Astyanax mexicanus: one gene and its partner. The protein of the gene in region 1 purifies or fractionates together with the protein of each later gene. This does not show direct contact. Links are inferred from orthologs where the notes say so. Each region holds a gene or a part of one and is shown on either strand. Other genes may lie near its edges.

Region 1 (9,886 bases):
TTGAAGAGCAGTCTTGTAGCGGCTCTGACCTAAAAGTGAGCAATACAGAAATATTTTTTTGCATTCTGTGACCAATTTTGTCATTGTGATATAAAACATGCTTATCTGAGCATGCTGATCAGATACAGAGAAACATTTCAATACAGGTAGTATAATAAAAGTCATGTTTAATTTGAGTATTTGTAGCACATCCTAAATATAAATCAAATCAATGTACAAAAAAATAAATAGAGTATTTTAACAGTTAAGAGTTTGCTGCCACTGATGTTTTTGTATGCAAGACAAAACAAATATTGCAATGTTTTGTTGTTCTGCAATATACATTACATATATTAAACAATACAGGGACATTAAGCAGAAGTCAACAACCCAACATGCCATGTTGTTAATATTACACCGTGTATCCAAAAATGGAGGAAAATAAGTTGTCACAGGAAACTAAAACAGTATAAATTGTCCTATAGTCCTAGCACCTTTGGTGTACATAATCACACTCTGATACAACTGGGTGATGTGTTTTTAAACACAATATTTCAAGACATTTTCACAATAATTTTGACACACTATTCAAATGCTTTTTCCATGCATGTAAGGGATATTGAATTGTATATTTGGAAGATGCGCAGCAAAAAAATATAAACAGGATTTTACACTCTCTGTAATAAAATGCACAGTTGAATCAGTGTTCTTTAGGTACTGCTGAGATAATTTCTTCAATATACTTATCGTCAATATAAGAACATTTATCACGATTTAATAAAATATAGATACATTGTGCAGCTCTAGGTGTATTGGATTAAAATTAATTGACATTGGACACCCTGAGATATACACAAAGCTATTGCACGTGGATACATTGCAATGATGCTGAAATCTCTAGGGTTTGTGACTAGGCCTGTCATGATAACTTCAATATCGATTTATCGTACAATAAATAAAAATGATCTGAACGTTTTTCATAATCGCGATATCGTTTATTGTGTTTATTTGCATGTTCGTTTACACATATACAACCGTGAACAGTATTTTAGACACTGACTCCATACACACAATGTGGAGTAAAGTAGGGGAGAAATAAGTATATAATTTCCAAACTAATTATAATAAATGATTAATTCACATTTTGTTGTATTTAAAAAGTGTACAATTGCTTTTTATGCTATTCTGTTATCATTATGTCAGTGGAATTGAATAGTCTTAAAATTAGAAAAATATCGTGCATCACAATTTCTGGAACAATATATTGTCCAAAAAAAAAAATCTCATCATGACGGATCTATTTGTGACAGTTGGGCAGTGTAACACAAAGCAATCCTGACTGTTCTCCTACATAGTTCCCCATTGGTGAAAGAGCAGGAGCGTCCCTTACTATCTTTGAAAAAAACACCTCTAACTACTACTTCTAACCTTATTTTCTCCCCTTTCTTTCCTGCTCTCTCCCAGTATTACCCTTTGGCCTCTATTAGGCCAAAGGGTAATACTGGGAGATGTTTTTGCCTTGAATTTCTATCTCCTCTAATGCTAATGAACATCATTATTTGAAAGTTGCTTTGGATAAAAACGTCTGCCAAATTTAATGTAATGTAATGTAACAGGGTTCACAGAATACAGAATTTCTTATGCCATATTACATTTTAGACATCACCTCTTCCAGACTCTCCCCTCTGGCAACAGGCTTTAGACCATCAAAAACCAGCACAGCACAACACGCTAACAGCTTCTTTACCAGAGCTGTAGCACTTCTCAACCACAGTGGACACCTGAGTCTCCGAACTTCACTGAACTGCACTGACTGGAGAAGAATGTCTGTACAGCTGTGCAAATAAGCGTAGTGCAAGTGAGCAAATTGTAAAATCCAAATGTTATCATCTGGAATTACAATTGTAAGAAATTATAAACATTTTCTTGTACGTTGCTCTACATAAAGCAAATTAAATTAAATTAAATTGCATTTAGCCTATAACGGTCAGAAAGTTCAATTAATAAACAACACACTGACCCGAAATAAAGCGATTCTGACATTATCTTATATTATCGCCTTTACTTCTTAAAGGACATGTGTTTCATTTAATTTTATTTATACACACACACACACACACCAAGCTTTATAGTATAAGAAGTAGTAAAATATATATTTTTTAAAACACAAGCAGGTGCCTGAAAGGCTGAAGATCATAAATGAGAGTGTGGGTAAGGAGAGCAGGGTATTGTGCTTTAGGCTTTTCAGTGAAAGTGCCACGACTGTATGGCTTGTAACTGACAGCACGCGTTTTACACATGCCTGGATTGAGCAATGTATTGCTTATTTTTTTCCCTTGCCTGAACACACACACACACACACAGGGTTAGGCTAGGGCTAGAAAACACACACACACACACACACACACACACACACTGCGCAGCTACAACAGCATGTGGAAACACACGGCCTGCAAACACAGGCTACGTTAGGCTATATTTCCACTAAACAGACTGTAATACGGTTAATGAAAGACTACTTACAGACAATTACCATTAACTGTGTAGCTATCTAACTAAATACGCTCTTTTAGCATATCTATGAAGCTAGCTAACGTCTGTTAGCTGTTTAGCTAGCTATATGATACAAGTCTCGCAAACAAAGGGTCAAACGCGTAGCGGGGCTAACACGACTAAGCTAAGCTACGCTACAAGTTGTGCTGTTTTTCATTCATTTGTAAGCCTTAAGAAAAGCTGGGATCTGTTTAGTTTAAATGGTCACATTTTCACCTTTTAAACACCAGTTTCTTATCATCCCGGAGCTGTGGATTATATAGAACTAGGCCGGGTTATATGTTTAACACGCTGCGGCGTGAGAGCACTCCCTCTGCGGGAACAGCCCGAGCGCCCGCAGTAACGTTCACCCAACATAGGTTATTAGTTAGCTTGAGCTAGCTAAAGCTCAAGCTAGCTTTGTCCGGTGTTGCGTCGAGCTGTGCTACCCGTCGAATTGTGCTGCTTAGCCGTTCTGCGCATGCGCGGCTGGGAATTTAAAATATTCGCGTGTGTTTTTCACGTTAGAGCCATTTGTTTTCTCGGGTGCATTTAACTTTTACAAAATTAGCTTATATATCATTATTAGCTGGTATCAGCTTACCGTTAAATTTGTAAAAAAAAAAAAAAAAACGTGAAAAAACATTTTTAATGTGATCTCAATCTAAACCCTGAGCTAGACAGACAGATATAATTAAATGTTTTAAAAATTAGTTTTTTAAGGGACTCTGCACAATATTATGCACACCACCAACCAACAATATACATATATTATATATTTAATTACATTTAAAAAAGTATCACAAAACAATGCATTTAAATGCATATAAATATAGCATATAATACATTCACTTATATTAAAAAGCCTTACAAAACAATTCTTTCAATGTATATAAACATAACATAATATATTCAATTGCTTAACATGACCTAGCAATTATAACGTTATTTGTGCTGGGATCATTTTAAAATTCAAATTGTATGACGCTTTATATTATACAATTATAGTTAGTTAGCTAACCTAGCTAGGTTATATGCTTTTTCTGTTTTAGGTTAGATTTTATTTAACCTAGCTAGCATAGCTATAAATACACACCATAGTAGCGCGTTGTGACAATGTAGCACAATTCGACGCAACACCAGTTCGTGGTTGAGCAGACATCGCTTTGAAAGATCACTTAAAATATCATTTAAACACAATATTGTTATATAATATGAGAGTGGATGTGTGTATATTACCATACGGGCGGCCTCTGCCCACGTACGCTCCTTCTTTCTCTTCTGTTTGTCCTTCATTTCCTCGGTCTTCTCTCGCCGATGCGTCTGATACTACTATTACTACTACGGCTGCTGCAGCAGCGCTGGCGGATATGAAACGTGTGAGCTAGCGCAGGCAGCAGCACGGGCGGGCGGGCAGGCTAGCTAACTTACTAGCGGAGTGACCCTGACCGAGCCTTTTCTGCAGCAGCCGAACCACCACAGCTCAGCCCTGTAGCGCAGATGGAACCGTACCCCCGCCCGCTCAGCTCGCAAAAACGACGGCCACAAATACTCGGCTCCTGCGAAAACACAAAAGCTCCCCCAGTCGTTCCGCCGCCGCCTTCTTCTTCTTCTTTTTCTTCTCTTCCAGCAGCGCCAGGCTTTTGTAGCTGCCTCCGTTTCCCCCGCAGCTAACCAGTAAACACGCAACGCAGGGCGCACAGCGACCAAGCCCCAGCACCACGCACCGCCGCCAGCACACGAGCACCGGGCATTCCGCTATAAAAATACAAATACTATACAGAGCTATACCCGCACAAACCCGCCCGCAGAACACCGCGCGCGCACACACAGACACAACAGCGAGGTCAAAGGTCAAGCCCACACTGCAGGAATGCAACACAAAACAACACTCTCCCCATCCCCCTCTTTACACTCTCTCTCTCTCTCTCTCTCTCTCTCTCTCTCTCTATCTCTATCTCTCTCTCTCTCTCTCTCTCTCTCTCTCTCTCTCACACTCAGCCGAGCCTAGCTGACGTCTCACACAACAGCAGTGGGACCCCGCCCATTATTATGCATACCACCGACCAACCAACAAACTTCACGAGTCTTACAAAACAATTCATTTAAATATATAGGCATACAATATATAATATAATTATATTAAAAGTCATACAAAACCATTGATTAAAATGAATATACATATGATATATAGTATAAAAATATAATATATTACATTTTATTAAAAAAATAATTGCTAGCAAATAAATAAGATGCTTTATTAATCCATGGGAGGAAATAAGAAGAGGTTCTAGCAGCTTAAAGATAGCAGTAAATGTTACATTTTTTTGGGTTTAAAATTAAAAAGTTAGGTATTAAGGGACCCTGCACATTATTATACATACCACCAACCAACAAAGTTCACAAGCTGTGTTACAATCAATTGGTTTAAATGTATATGCATATAATATAAAATACATTCAATTATATTAAAAATGTAATTGATGAAAAATAAATAAGATGCTTTATTAGATAGATAGATAGATAGATAGATAGATAAAAATAAAGAATATATATATATATATATATATATATATATATATATATATATATATATATATATATATATATATAGTAATATAATATTGTCAAATGATTGGAAATGAATAATTAAATAAATGTTTTAAAAGCTAGGGACCTTGCACATTATTATGCATACCACCAACCAACAAAGTTCACTAGATATAATACAATGAAATATGTAAAATATAAAAACAACATGAATTGAAGCAGCCCCATTCTCTTTTTTTGGTTATATCTTTATATTACAATGCACTGGAATCTTTTTGTTCAGTGGATTGTGTTTAAATGTATGAATGCATTAGCCAAATGTGCAATTTATTATGTATGTATTATGTTACAATTTGCTTTAAAGGTTTTTCATTTATTTAATCAGTGATCACAATTATATATTTGCTGCTCCAAAGAGATTGCAGTGCAAAATATATATTTATTTCAAATGAAAATGCTGTTTGTAATTTGTAATAAGGTAATGTTAATACATTTTACAATTTTGGTTTAGACAGATGTTTTACCAAAGACAGATATGGGCAATAACTCATTAAGTGGAAATACATGCAAAATTATATTTATATGGGATGTGTTGACTGCAATATGCATAGTGACAATAGCTTCGCCAAGGGGAATTAAAACAACCAATGTTTATGGCTAGTTAAATGAATTGAATGAAAATAAAATGAAATACTACTATTTGCTTTTATTTAGAGGTTAATTGGCTCTAGCAAGTTTTAATAAATTATACTTAAAGTTTACTCTGAATAATATTACCACCATTAAGGTTACATGAAGCAAAGGCATAAGATTACATCATGGGGGAAGTAGTCATGTCCAATCTACTGGTCTAATTAGCTGGTTAACTTGTATAATACGTTTATAGAGGTTGAACAGCAGGGCTTGATTAACAGAATTGTAAGCTAATTTTAATCAATTAGCCATTTTCATCTTTAAACCAAGGAAGCACACAGTTGTTCTCTTCAGTTTACTCATGTTTTTAGTGGTAAGTGGTTCATCAGTGAACAACTCCAATTTGTTTTACCCAGCAAACACATTCATGTGGACCTCACATGGGTAAAATATGGCCATTTGAATATGTTGTGTATGTTTTTACTGGGGCCCAGTTGGGCTTCCTAAATGTACCCCATCATTACAGCCCACTTTAGTCTCACAAGTCCTATTTAGGCCACATGTGAAGTGTACAGCCCCTCCAGATCCCATAAATGACATTCATATGTGGGCCTAACATGGAACCTGCGGACAAATCCTTCTGGGCCACATGTTGGCATGTTAAATATTCAACATGTAAAGGGATGTACCTAATAACCATTATTAGTTTTCACTTTGGTTGTAATTTCCCCAGACATTCCCTTGTATTTAAAAAAGTGCAAAGTACAGAACTTGCTTAATGTGCCAAACTACTAGACTTTTGCAAAAACTGATAATTATAGTGAAAACTAGATATTACCAAAAATCATGCAATCGACTTTCTTTGATAAACAGAAGTACACAATTCAAAAAACATTTTTATTTAGTTTGAAGATTTATTTTTTCTCCACCTCCCACCTGACAAATATACAGAGTACATGTACTTTACAAATGATAGTCACTCTGAAAGGGGACCCTTTCTGGAAACAGAGATGCTGTATAACCAGTCCTTTCAATTAAACAGTTCATCCTTCACCAACCACCACCTTCAGAATTCCCTAAAATTACAAAAGGCATTATAATTCAGTTGTAGAATGGAGATGATGGCAGGAACCAGTTAAAATAATTTGTGTGGTATGGCACAACAATATTTTATAAACAGGACATTTGTGGAGGTCAAGGAGTTACAGAGTCTCAGCAGTGAGATAGAAGAGGAGCTGAGAAGCTAAAATAAATGCTGAACATTATTATTTATTAGTTCTAGCATTCTTTAAGGACAGTGTGTAAGATTTGGTTAGACTCCCAACACAATAATAGGAAAGTTGTAAATATGAACATGTATTAATATTATGGATCACTACTTTATTTGCACAGAAAATTAATTTGTAACAGGTTCCTAAGGCAGTATTAGAAAAGAAGTCATGTGCTTTTAATTGAGAATGGGATCTTAAGAAATGGAATGGTGAATGTTTTTTTTTTTTTTAGAGTCAACCAAACAAAAATGATTGAGGGTTTTGTTGTATATTGTAGATTTTTAGGCTGTTACCTCAATATAAGGTAATTCAGCACCATACAATAAGAAGCTTGTATATGGCACTATCCCACTGCTAGGTACATAAATACACTACTATTTTCAACTCAGTGTTACTCTACTGCATTTTGTCTTGCTTTTTCTTTAGGCAACTTTGGCACCAGGTATCTAAATTTGGGTATTTATTACTTGCTCGCTCGTGGTTCGAAGCAATTCGATTAGTGACTAAAATGTAATGTGTTAACCTTGCATTTCACACTATGTCCAGAAAGAATCGTCACTCTGCAGAGTGCTAAAGGCCACAAACCGAGAACCTGGAACCCAACCCCTTCACCAGCCTCTGTTGTTACTGTGTTGTCGTTCTGAGCTGCATCAGCTACATTTCGACAAGGGGTGGAGTTGAGGCAGTGGAAAAAATGAACCGGGTACCAGGTTTTAAGAAGCAAGTAGAGTCAAGCAGAGTTGAGTAGTGTATGATGGTACCATGTTGTGGAAAAGCGCCAATAATGTATGCTGGTGTTCACATATGAAAGATGAAAAATATGATAAACAAATGTGGCGATACTTAGTGTGATTCTATGATTTGGTTCAGCAGCAGCATGTTCACCCTCTGATGTCTGTATAGTGAAATAGCTCTCTCACACGAGGGCTGAATACAGGCACTGTTGTGTCCTGGAAACACTCCAGTACAGTTCATTCATATGCAAGTACAGTGAGCATTTTTTTCAGGGGGAGGAGAGAATTTAAATACTAAAAAAACAAGGCCAGAATTACATGGAAGGTAAGAAATCCTTTAGAAATTCTTTCAGGTTTCTGACACAAGTCAAGTCACCGTGTTTCAAGTAACTTGAAGTTAACAAATTCATGCGCTCTTCCAGTGGACTCAGTTTTTAAACATGCCCTTTTGTATAACAATTAAAATTGCACAAAGGTATATCTATATATATGCATATGAATGACTTTTAGGCCACAGGGAATATCCAAGTCCCTAGAAAACAAAATCCGCTTGTCCTCAACGCCAGTCCAAGCTGTCCCTTTCAGCACTGAAGAAAACGGTTCCTAAGTGTCATTATCTATCCTGTGAGCTGGAATGCAGAAGAAAAAGAAAAGAAAAACATCAGCTATGTATCTTTAGATTAGTATTGTGATTCAAACCACAAACAACAAACAGAAAAAGACTAGCAGTAGACATACATTGTTTTGGTATCCTGAGTGCTTCTGTGTCACCAGATAGGACCTGATGCATGACGCCTCTGAACTGATACAGCACCTTTAGGCTCTTCTCCTCACCCACACATGGGTCGTAGAAGCCTGGTAAGCCAGCCTGAGATTATGTGGAAAACAGAAGCAGAATTTTAATATTTGGGTTTGATATTTTCTACTCAAAAAATGTTATACATGAATACAAGCAATATAATTAGAGCTGGGGGTGGAACAATACACAGAAATCATGGTTCTGTTCTTATAGCATACTGGACATTACAGTTCGGTACAACAGTAACACAAATGACGAAAATGCCAAAGCTAAACCAGCTGGAGCTAAGCTTAACATGACATGTTGCTAAACTTCCACATTAAACACAGTGCTCCTGTCAACTTGTCAACATGTGTAATATGTACCTTTGTTTTTTCCCTTTGTTTTGAGGAATATTAATAGGAAAAAAGATTTTTATTTTATTTAGTCTACTAAAATATTTTATGTATTATTATGTCGATTGTTACAGTAAAGCTCTGTGTTCATAAATGGATAAAATTTATGAACAGAATTTCATCCATATTTGAATTCATTATCAGACATGGCCACCTCTCTCCTACTAGCAGACTGAGACTCATTTGATGTGCATAACACTAAAGTTGACCTGTATATATCAGTGTCTGCACTGTAGTATTTTTTTTGTCACTGCTTCTTCAGAATTTTATGAACTGTTTATAATTGCAATTACAAAGCTTGACAGGAGTTTTGTTTTATGTAAAACGATGGATACAGCAAGTAGAGACTGAGGAAGGTACTTCATGATTTTGAGACAGAGGTTCAGCTCTGTCCAAGTCTTGTTAAATACTTCATGTGCTAAAGACTTGAAATTCACATAAAAGAAACTAACGCAACCAGTCTTTCAGTAAACAAACTATTGCCAGGGCTAAGTTAGCTTAGCTTAGATAACAGCACTAGCTATCTTAGGCATGTATAGCACATACCAAAAATAATTACTATACCTGTAGGCTACATATCTAATATTTTTTTATTGTAACCATGATGTCAATTATTTACTGAGGCATGACATTATGTTACCTTTGAGGCCTCTGTGAGAATGAGTTTGGAGTCCTTCACCAGGCACTGAAGAGGTACGGTCACATCTATGACTCTCGCCCTTTCATGCCTCCTACTGTTGTCGGTCACAAACTTCCCATACCAGGCATTGAGTATGATAAGGCCTGATAACGTAAGACAAATTAAAAGTAATTTGTTAATGAAGAATATTACATTAACCCCCATACCCCCCACACCACCCCCCACCCCTTTGTAACTGTAATAGCAGGTTCAGGACTACTTCTTCCAATACTTTTGTCCTGTGTGTGGAAATAGCTCTCTTACCCATTTTAGACTCCTCAGCTTCAATGATTCTTCGCACAGATTCTTGCATC
Region 2 (9,978 bases), on another chromosome or scaffold:
ACACCACTCACTTAATCAGCAGCCCAACAGCCAGTTGTTGTGAGCTGTGAGATAAAGGGTGGGAATTTTTTGGCACCTTACAATTTGATTTGATTATGATTCAGAGTCTGCGACACGAATATAACACGATTATTGATTGAGCATCTTGATGGATCTTTTTCTCTCGTTGTGTGACTATCTGGTACTTTTAAAGTAAAGTATCTGTAATGATCCATAATAAATCTGCTAATAAATCTGCTCTTTGGCACTATTTCTATTTACATGAAAACCCGCATTGTTATATCAATGAATCAAATGATTAATACAAAACATCTAGGATTAATGTTGATAGTGTAATATTTTAAACCAGCAACACAGAGAGAGAAAATGAAGACAGAGAGAGAAAGAAACAAGGAGAAAGACAGAAGAAGAGAGAGAGAGAGAGAGAGAGAGAGAAAGAAAGAAAAAGGGAGAAAGAAAGAGGCAGAGAAAGAAAAAGGGAGAAAGACAGAGAGAAAGAGAGACAGAGAAAGAGAGAAAGACAAAAAACAGGGAGAAAGAGAGAAAGAGGGAGAAAGAGAGAGAAAGAAAGAAAAAAAAAAAAGGGAGAAAGAGTGAGAGGTTGTGTCGATTCACAGATGCCAAAAATTGAGATGCATCTAAAAATGATAAATTTTCCCCACCCCTGTGTGAGAGTGTATAGGAGATGTTGAAAACTCACAGGATTGTACTGGAGAGCAGACACATACGCCTGTACAGCTCCCTCCATGTCCCCAGCAGCGACCAGGGCAGCAGCCAGGTTGATGTATCCGTCAATGAAGTCAGGCTTGAGGCGGAGCGCGTGGCGGTAGTGCTCGATAGCCTCCTGCAGTTGACCGCGTTCCTTGTAGACGTTGCCCAGGTTTGAGTAGGCCTCAGCAAGCATGGGGTTCTGCTTGATGGCCAGAGTGCTGAAGTGCGCTGACCTGCACACCACAACAGGGTAAAAAACACTCAGAAAAGTACTAAAACTAGTAGGGCTGGGTATCGTTTTTAGATTTCTGATACCAATATGATACAAGCAATGAGCAATAACACAAAACATTTTTTACTGAGCTTTGATACCCAGCCCTAATATTATTTATATCACAAAGTGAATGAAAGTTTAATAGATTGATCAACTCAATATGTTAACAGCTCTGGAAAAAAAATAAGAGACCAGTTTAAAATGATTGAGTTTCTGCGATTTTACCAAAACCTCTGGAATATAATCAAGAGGAAGATGGATGATCACAAACCATCAAACCACCAAACTGAACTGCTTGAATCTTTACACCAGGAGTAAAGCAGCATAAAGTTATCCAAAAGCAGTGTGTAAGACTGGTGGAGGAGAACATGATGCCAAGATGCATGATTAAAACCTGTGATTAAAAACCAGGGTTATTCCACCAAATATTGATTATTTCTGAACTCTTAAAACTTTATGAATATGAACTTGTTTCTTTGCATTATTTGAGGTCTGAAAGCTCTGCATCTTTTTTGTTATTTCAGTCATTTCTCATTTTCTGTAAATAAATGCTCTAAATGAGAATATTTTTATTTGGAATTTGGGAGAAATGTTGTCTGTAGTTTATAGAATAAAACAACAATGTTCATTTTACTCAAATATAAACCTATAAATAGCGAAATCAGAGAAACTGGTTCAGAAACTGAAGTGATCTCTTTATTATTTCCAGAGCTTTTAAGATTTAATTTTGAACATATTAACCTGAATAAAATAAAGATTCAAAAACACAAGACAGTATTAAACCACCACCCGTAGCAAAATGACACAGCCCTGACAGAGAAAGACCAGAAAATCCAAAAGAAGAGCCAGAACCATCTCCCTGGACCTAGTCCACACATCCCCACCAAGAAGAATGAGCCAGGCCCTCTGTGCTTCAGGTAGGTCATTAAAACGGCACAAAGCCTCTCTGAACCACCTCACCTGTCTAGCCGGCGGCACTGGAAGTGGATGGAAGAGAGCAGCAGTAGGACACCAGTATTGTCGGGCTCCTGTCTCCACAGCTGCATACAGTGACGTTCTGCTGCTTCAAAATCGCCGGACTGATACTCGCGGTGTGCAAGCTCGGCCAACCCTTGGAAGGAAAGCATATGTTTTGTTGGTTCTGTGGCCACCAACACAACCCGAAGGAGGAGGGGGGAAAACAACACGTTAGAATAAATGGAAATGAAGCAAAATAATCAAACAATGACAAGAACAAAGATGATGACTTAGTAAATGTATCTTTAACATGCAGACTAAAAACACAAAGGCTTTAGGCCTTAAAACAAACACTGAAAAAAAGTTTATCTTGTACTTTGATAAACCGATCAATCAATGTGAAAAAGGGCACTAAAAAAAAAAAAAGAGAGAACCTCATTCACATAGAGACAAACAGTAAAGTGGAAATGTAGGGGAATTTAAAAGGATGAGTCCAGCCTAATTTTATTGATGTAATTGGTGTTATATACATTATATACAATTAATCACATGATGTGACCACTAAATAAATATTTTTGGGCAATATCTTTGCTTAAATGCAGAACTCATCCTTTAAATAATTAAAAAAAAAAGAAAAGCACAGATGCTGAGAAAGAAGTATGAGAAGGAACATGAATAGACAAAATGGTGACGCCAAATAAAATGATGCATTTACTAAGTACTAAGTAAACTGATTAAATGTGATGTGCAAGCAGTCAATGGGCAAGCATTCAAACAATGAAGAAAAAAAACAAATGTGTGAAAACAAATAGAGATGCAAAGAGATAAACAGTTAAACACTGCTAAATATTGCAGCTGCACGTGTTCACGTCTAACGCTTTTATGTCTAAAGTGTCTTACAGTCTTTTCAATGTTTATGAAAGTTAATAAATATGCTTACTTTCAGATGAATTGCCAATAATTCCTGCACAGTCAAACAAACCTTTTGTTCACCTTTATTTCACCATCAGAACTGAGAAAAATTAATGATATCTATATATGCATATATATATTTAAATCAACATAAACAGTACATGACAATCTGGCTTATCTATTTACAGCTTTTTCTATCTTTTCTTTTTCTTTTCATTATCTACATCGGTTCAGGGATTAGGTGAGTCAACAAACAAAGCAAACTCTCCTGAGACTTTCTATTTATAATCAGATCTTTCTTTAGCACTTCAGCACCCCACCCTGTAAGACAGGCTCCTGCTTGGTTGGATTTAATCGGTTAGAGTTTCCACATTTTTCCAAATGCCTACTTGGTAAATACATGACTAAGATGTTACAGTTTACTAAAGGGGTGCGTCATTTTAATTGCTTTTTTAAAATGGACAAATATCTTTCGCTAGCTGCTTTTAAAATCTGTAAGCCTTTTTTTATCTCTAGTTCTTGTCAGAAACTGAATTATGATAATTTGACTGAATGATCTAAGATTTTTAAGCAAAATGTAATTCGACAAACCTTGTGAATTAGGGTGTAGCAACAGATTTAAACAATAAATAATGAAGAGTTAGAACAGGTTATTAACAATTTAAACTGTATAACAGGTATAATATTACAGTCTCACATTTCAAATCACGACAATCAACAATCAAACTATGCGTCTCTGAGATAAGAGAGAGTTATGTTATTTGTGTGCAAATCTACAGGTTTCTGATATTTTTCCCTACTAATAAATTTGCAGTAGTTGTAATTTATGTTATTTGTTAAGACAGTGTGATTTAATGACGCAGTACAACACTGCTTTCTAGAGGTCAGAGATTAAACAACACAAAATGAACCACTTCTGACACCAATTTTTCCATGTAAACTAGTAAACTAAAAAGCCAATATTACAATACCAAACAAAAGCATTATTTTCTTACATCTACAATGGACGACAAACCCAACAATTTTGTTTACCCCATTTCACCCAACCCACTGACTAAGCAGGCATATAAACAAATACAATATTAGAAAAAACAAATTAGCAAAACAAATTAATTATAATCAGCTAGCTAAATTAGCTTATTATCTGGTTAATTTGTTGGCCAAAACTAAATTAAAATCTATTTGACTTAAAACTCAGAAATATGGCTCTATGTGAGTGCTGAAAGGTCCAGTATACAGCATTAGATTTTAGATTTGAGTTTATGTATCTATAAATTTCAGAATTGATTGTTCTAAAATACTGGGAACTGTTTCTTTTTTTTTCTTAGATTGTTTTGAAAATTATTTTAGGAGCAGGATTGGGCAAATTACAAGAAAAAAATAACCAATGTATGAATTAGGCAGTTACAATATTTCAAGTTTATAAAAAAAAAAACAAATATTCTGGTTATCAGGTTTTAAACTCCATAACTCAGACATTAAGCTGAATAAATGTGAAGCACATTAACGCTATAAATGCATTTATAGATGGTTTTGTACCTACAATCTTATTTTAACAAAGCAGTGAGGACATTAGTTAGATAAACAAATATCTAAAGATGTATTATGCTGTTTTACATTAGTATTTGAGTGCTGTGGGTGTGTAACTGTGTTAAATATTGTTAAACTGTGTTAAATGTCCTCTCAGGCCTGTAGTGAATGCAGTCACGTTTACCTGTGCTGTCGGCCACGTTTCCCACTGAGCTCGCCATCTCTCCCGTCTTCGAGTCTCGCCGAGGGGTCGTCAGGGTGCCAAAACAAACACGAAACCACCGATTAAAAAAACAATAGTGCCGTTAGCTAATCAATAACACGCACACACAGACTGTGCGAGTCCGCGGATCCAGATTAAATAATCTGTTAAAATGCTGATAAAGAGTCTGAGAGGATCCCGAATCTGAGGAGAAACCGCCAGCTAACGAGACAAGCTAACCGAGCTAATCGCGCGTATTTCACTGTATTTAGCTGTCTTTACCCCTCCGCTTAAAACGTCTGTTACTCCTTCCCTATCGCTACTGTACCAAAAATGCAAACCTACAAATATTTCGGTTCGAATTAGTCAAAATGAGTCAAAAATACTCAATTAAGAGTATTTCCACCATCGCACTGACTCCGCTAACAAAGCATCTACCGAAATGGCGGAATATGGGCGGGACTTCTTTTTTGATATAAAAAATTAGACCTCCCTCTCCCTCTCTGACTCATTTAACGTGTGTTCAGAATAAGTATCAGAGATATTGTTCGCGACATTAAAGTAAATTTTTATTTGTTATATTCATCCCAAAAAATGCAGCGTATGAGTTGTTGTTTCGCTCTTTATAAACGTATTATCTTCACTACGGCGGAAGAACACTAGCCTCCCGCTAAAAGATAGAGATACACGGCTTTCTTCTGTGTATCAATGCGCCAACCACTGCGGCAATTCGGGACTGTTCCATTAGCAGAGACAGAGGGGGGGGGGGGGGGGGGGGTGGGCGGGGTGTTTTTATTATAATAAAAGCCGAGTTTTACTACAAAAACTTGCTAAAATGTGAAATATGAAATATAATAAGTCTAAAGATATTTTAATATTATAATAAATGTAAGTGTGCAATTAACGTACAGTGAAAAACAGGGACCATGTTTGGATTCAACCATTCACTCTCATTGGTTGAGCTACTGGTAGCTATAAATATCAGAATGCAGGATAAATGGTATTATCACTGTATTATAATAATATTACATTACCAGGCTATTTATGTGTATATAAGTAATATATAAGTAAATATATATAATATATATGTGTAAATTAACATTGTTGTTTTATTCTATAAACTATGGAAAACAATTCTTCCAAATTCTAAATATAAATATTGTCATTAAGAGCATTTATAAATAACAAAAAAGATGCAGAGCTTTCAGACCTCAAATAATGCAAAGAAAACAAGTTCATATTCATAAAGTTTTAAGAGTTCAGAAATCAATATTTGGTGGAATAATCCTGGTTTTTAATCACAGTTTTTAAAAACTCCAGTGTTAATGACCTCTGGCAGATGACCAAAAGATCAATGGATCAGTGGGTGTTATGTAATATTTAACATTTCTAATGTGTGTTTAGTAAATGGTTTATCAGTAAAATGCCAAGTCTACATGATTACGTCACCTAAAACATATAAGCTCATTGTTTTATTCAGACTGTTGTACAAAGTCATAAAGGTACAGATAGGTGTGTTTACGTTTAAAGAAACCTTTCAAAATAAAAGTCTGGCTTTTATTATGAAAATAATTCAGCAAATCAAAACCCCAATAAAGCTTAATTGATCTCTGACCCAATACTAGTAATTAACTAAGAATTCATAATATATCGAAATTACCGTGTTTACATCGTAATTTCACAGCAATGTTTTATAAAATAATTATGTCATATAAATAAAGCCATTTTTCTGCTACAATAATACAATTCCACTATAAGGTTTTCCATATTATTTAAAATCCAGTCTAGTAGTTTATGTTGGTGTTTAATAGCGGATGTATCTTAAATGCTGACATTTCATGCTTGAAAATTTAAGCTGTATTTTGTAAAAGCAAATTTATTTTATTCACAGTGTTTTTCTGCTGATTTGCCATCAGTCTAAAGTTAGAGTAAGGCAGACGAAATAACTCACATGGATAATACAATTAAAGGAATCAGTGTTTACATCAGTTTTGTACTTTTTTTTGTACTACTAATTCACAAGTAATTAACACAACAAAAATGACATGAGTGGTGTGTAAAAACATATATCAGAATACAATACAGATTATATTATTTTCAGAAATACAAATAATAAATTGAATACCCACATATACTGCTTGCAAACATTTTAAACAGAAATACCATCAAACTAATTTGCTAGTTTTAATAATTTTCACCAATAATAATGCTGTAGGTAAGACCATGGGGATTCATCTTTTCATAATAAAAACGAACAAAATTAAAGATTCACTATCTTACATAAAAATAAAGATTTTCTGAAATAGTCTAGTTCTGGAGCTGTGAATATTAATAGCTGCTGAATTGTGTGTGTATCTGAAGCCTGATTAGAACACACACTGTTGGAGCACTAAACATTACACTGGAGTCTTACTGCCGCAGGCCTGCAGAGGGCAAAAGAGGAAAAGGAACCAGATCTGTTTTTATTTCTGCACACAAAAAAACATGTAGTTCTCAATTACAGCTCAAAAACCTGTATTCTCTGCATATTCTTGTGTTTTTACTTCTATTACACATCTAACCCATCTTATTTAGGATTTGAAACTTAGCTCTGAAGGGTATTAGCTATGACAAAATAGGGATAATGAAAAAATATGCAGTGCATGAGGTATCTACTCTGTTATAATAATAATAATAGAAGTTTATAAGTGTTTAACACAGTTAAATTGTTGTAAAACATAGTCTCTGTCTGTCTTACTTGTTTATCATAATCATTTTCATTGTTTATTCAGAGTTTATAATGATAGAAAGTTCTAGATTTACCATCATTTACTAATAATAAAACCTGTAAAAAAAACATGTAGATTAAACAGTGATTTTGTACAGCCAATGAAATGATTATTGGTTCTTATGATAATAAGAAATCAAATCAAGCTGAACTGCTTGAATTGTTGCACCAGAAGTAAAGGCATAACATTATCCAAAAGCAGTTTGTAAGACTGGTGGAGGAGAACATGATGCCAAGATGTAATTTTTTTTTTTTTTTGCATTATAATTGCCTGTAAATGAGAATATTTTTATTTGCAATTTGGGAGAAATGTTGTCTGTAGTTTGTAGAATAAAAGAGCAATGTTCATTTTACTCAAATATAAACCTATTAACAGCAAAATCAGATAAACTGACCATTTTGAAATGCACTCATAACCGGTGGTGTCTGGCTAGAATTGTAATTGAACATTCAATGCAGGGACCCCACATTCACATCCTTATGTATTTTCTTTTACTGGCCTCTTCGGTATAAATCATCAATAAAGTGTAAAATGACCATCAGACTAAACACTCTCTCCATCCAACAGCTTACTTACATTTCCTAAATGTTGTCAGAAGAATTGTGAAAATGAGATTCACCAGTGTGCTCACTAATGAATGATGACACTGATGGTCACAGATGAAGGAAACGAGAGTGGGGACCAATGTTGTGTTCTCCCTCCCCATCCCATCGCAATTCACACAGCTTCACACACACACACACACACACACACACACACACACTCTTTACACACACACACACACAGTCACACAATACACACACACATATAGGCACAGATACAAGGAAAGCAAACATGCCACGAACCAGTTCACCCCCGTGTCTTGCCCCAGCCTCTTGGGCTGATTGACACGTCAAAAGAGCCCCTGAAGGCTGGGGTCTGTGATGTGAGAGTCTCATTAACTTCCCGTTTTCTCCCTCTTTTCTCCTAGAGCCCGAGTGCAGCTCTGTTTGCCTCTTGTCAGCTCTGTATGGGAAAGGGTTGACATCATCGGCCCGGATGGTGCGACAGTGTGTGCCCGGTTCATGTTGCTTCAGTGTGGGAGCTCGGCCTGGATACCCCCTCCTGCCCACTGCGCCACTCGGACGTTGGCTTGGGAAAGAGCCGGCTCTGGGGGAGTGATGTCATGCGCCGTGTCTTTGGCGATCGCATCTGACATGCTTTATCTTTGTGCAGGGCCGCTTCTGACCGGGCTCGGGCGTACACCTCTGCTTTGTTGAGACGGTGCCAGCGTCTGTTTTCACCGCCGAGGCTCTTTCACACGGTTATTTTGGGCGGCACGTGAACCGCTGAGGGCCGAGGGCCGAGAGTCTCGTTTCTAAATGTAGGCGGCGGCCTGTGCAGAGATGGCCAAGCTTTTGGGCACGCTGCTAAGAAATTAATGGAGCAGATTGTTCACTAATTTCGTCACATTTCCTTCTGTTTTAATTGTCTAATCTGTGGTCTGAGGTCTGAAGGAGTGACCCACATATTTCAGGTCGGATCAGCTCACAGCAGCTACCAAACAATCACCATGTTTATTTCTGCACTGGACACATACAATTCATATTCACAAAGAACATTTAAGAGTTCAGAAATCAGTATTTGGTGGAATAACCCTGGTGGTTTTTAATCACAATTTTTTTCATGCATCTTGGCATCATGTTCTCCTCCACCAGTCTTACACACTGCTTTTGGATAACTTTATGCTGCTTTACTCCTGGTGCAAAGATTCAAGCAGTTCAGACCCTGTTTATTTCAGCGCTGGACACATTTCGTCGCCTCGCGCCCGTTCGCTCCAGCTGGAGTGGTGTATATATGTTGTGGGTTCGGAGGGGGATGTTTGCACAGTCATGGTGACGGCTGTGTGCACAGTGTAAATGCGCGCTATTGAGATTGAGCAGTTCTCACACTCCTGACTCTTATAAGTGTCCATGAATCACCCAGAACGGAGGGTCTGCTTGCTCTCGCTTTATTTGCGCACATCACTTTCACTCTCTCACGCTGATGCAGGAGGTAAAGAAAGTGTGATACCATTTCCTCCTCCGTCTGTGCGCCAATAAATATATCAGAACCAGGCTTTATTGGCCAGTTCTGAAAACAAAGGAATTTGACTTCAGTAACAAAGTTGCTCATATCATATTAGGCATTTGTAGAAAAAAAATATATTTAAAGTCCTTAATGCAACGAAAATTATATATGTTATTTGTGTTTTACTAAAAAAAACTTGAAAAAATGTGTTCTTGCTTGCTGCTTATTTCTGTCTTGTTTACATGACAAGCAATCAGATCCTGAGTCATCCTCAGTTGGCCGTTATCATCCAGCACCACACAGCCATATAATTCAGCTACAGCCAGACGAATCCCACATCCTGACCTGACCTCTCCCATAATGTGTACATTCATAATGCTGTGCTGATGAAAACAGTTAACGATGGAGGAGAAAGAGAGAGAGAAAGAGAGAGAGAGAGAAACTGTAGTGAGTTTCAGCTGGGAACGGTTAAATATCAGGTGTCGGGTGTTTGATTCACACCTGCGGCCTCTACTTAATGCAGCGTGCGGCTGAGGGGAGTGATGCACTGCTTTTATAGCCGTGAATTCTGCGGT

The links. Proteins that work in one complex are often made in the same cells at the same time.
Region 2: the proteins of asxl1 (region 1) and ogt.1 purify together in Homo sapiens (affinity purification with mass spectrometry; 3 studies listed by BioGRID and IntAct, with this or other methods). This does not show direct contact. The link is inferred for Astyanax mexicanus from reciprocal best matches to the Homo sapiens genes ASXL1 and OGT.

What each region holds. Positions count from the first base shown.
Region 1 is NC_064420.1:39,534,414-39,544,299, forward strand, and holds the start of asxl1 (putative Polycomb group protein ASXL1), read right to left. Parts: upstream 4,429-9,886; 5' UTR 3,808-4,428; coding exon 3,751-3,807; intron 1-3,750. Other genes in the region: dnajc11a (dnaJ homolog subfamily C member 11a), read right to left, coding at 8,303-8,328, 8,438-8,567, 9,534-9,676, 9,837-9,886.
Region 2 is NC_064417.1:383,236-393,213, reverse strand, and holds the start of ogt.1 (UDP-N-acetylglucosamine--peptide N-acetylglucosaminyltransferase 110 kDa subunit), read right to left. Parts: upstream 5,043-9,978; 5' UTR 4,606-5,042; coding exon 4,569-4,605; intron 2,127-4,568; coding exon 1,946-2,126; intron 945-1,945; coding exon 701-944; intron 1-700. UniProt on the Homo sapiens protein: Catalyzes the transfer of a single N-acetylglucosamine from UDP-GlcNAc to a serine or threonine residue in cytoplasmic and nuclear proteins resulting in their modification with a beta-linked N-acetylglucosamine (O-GlcNAc).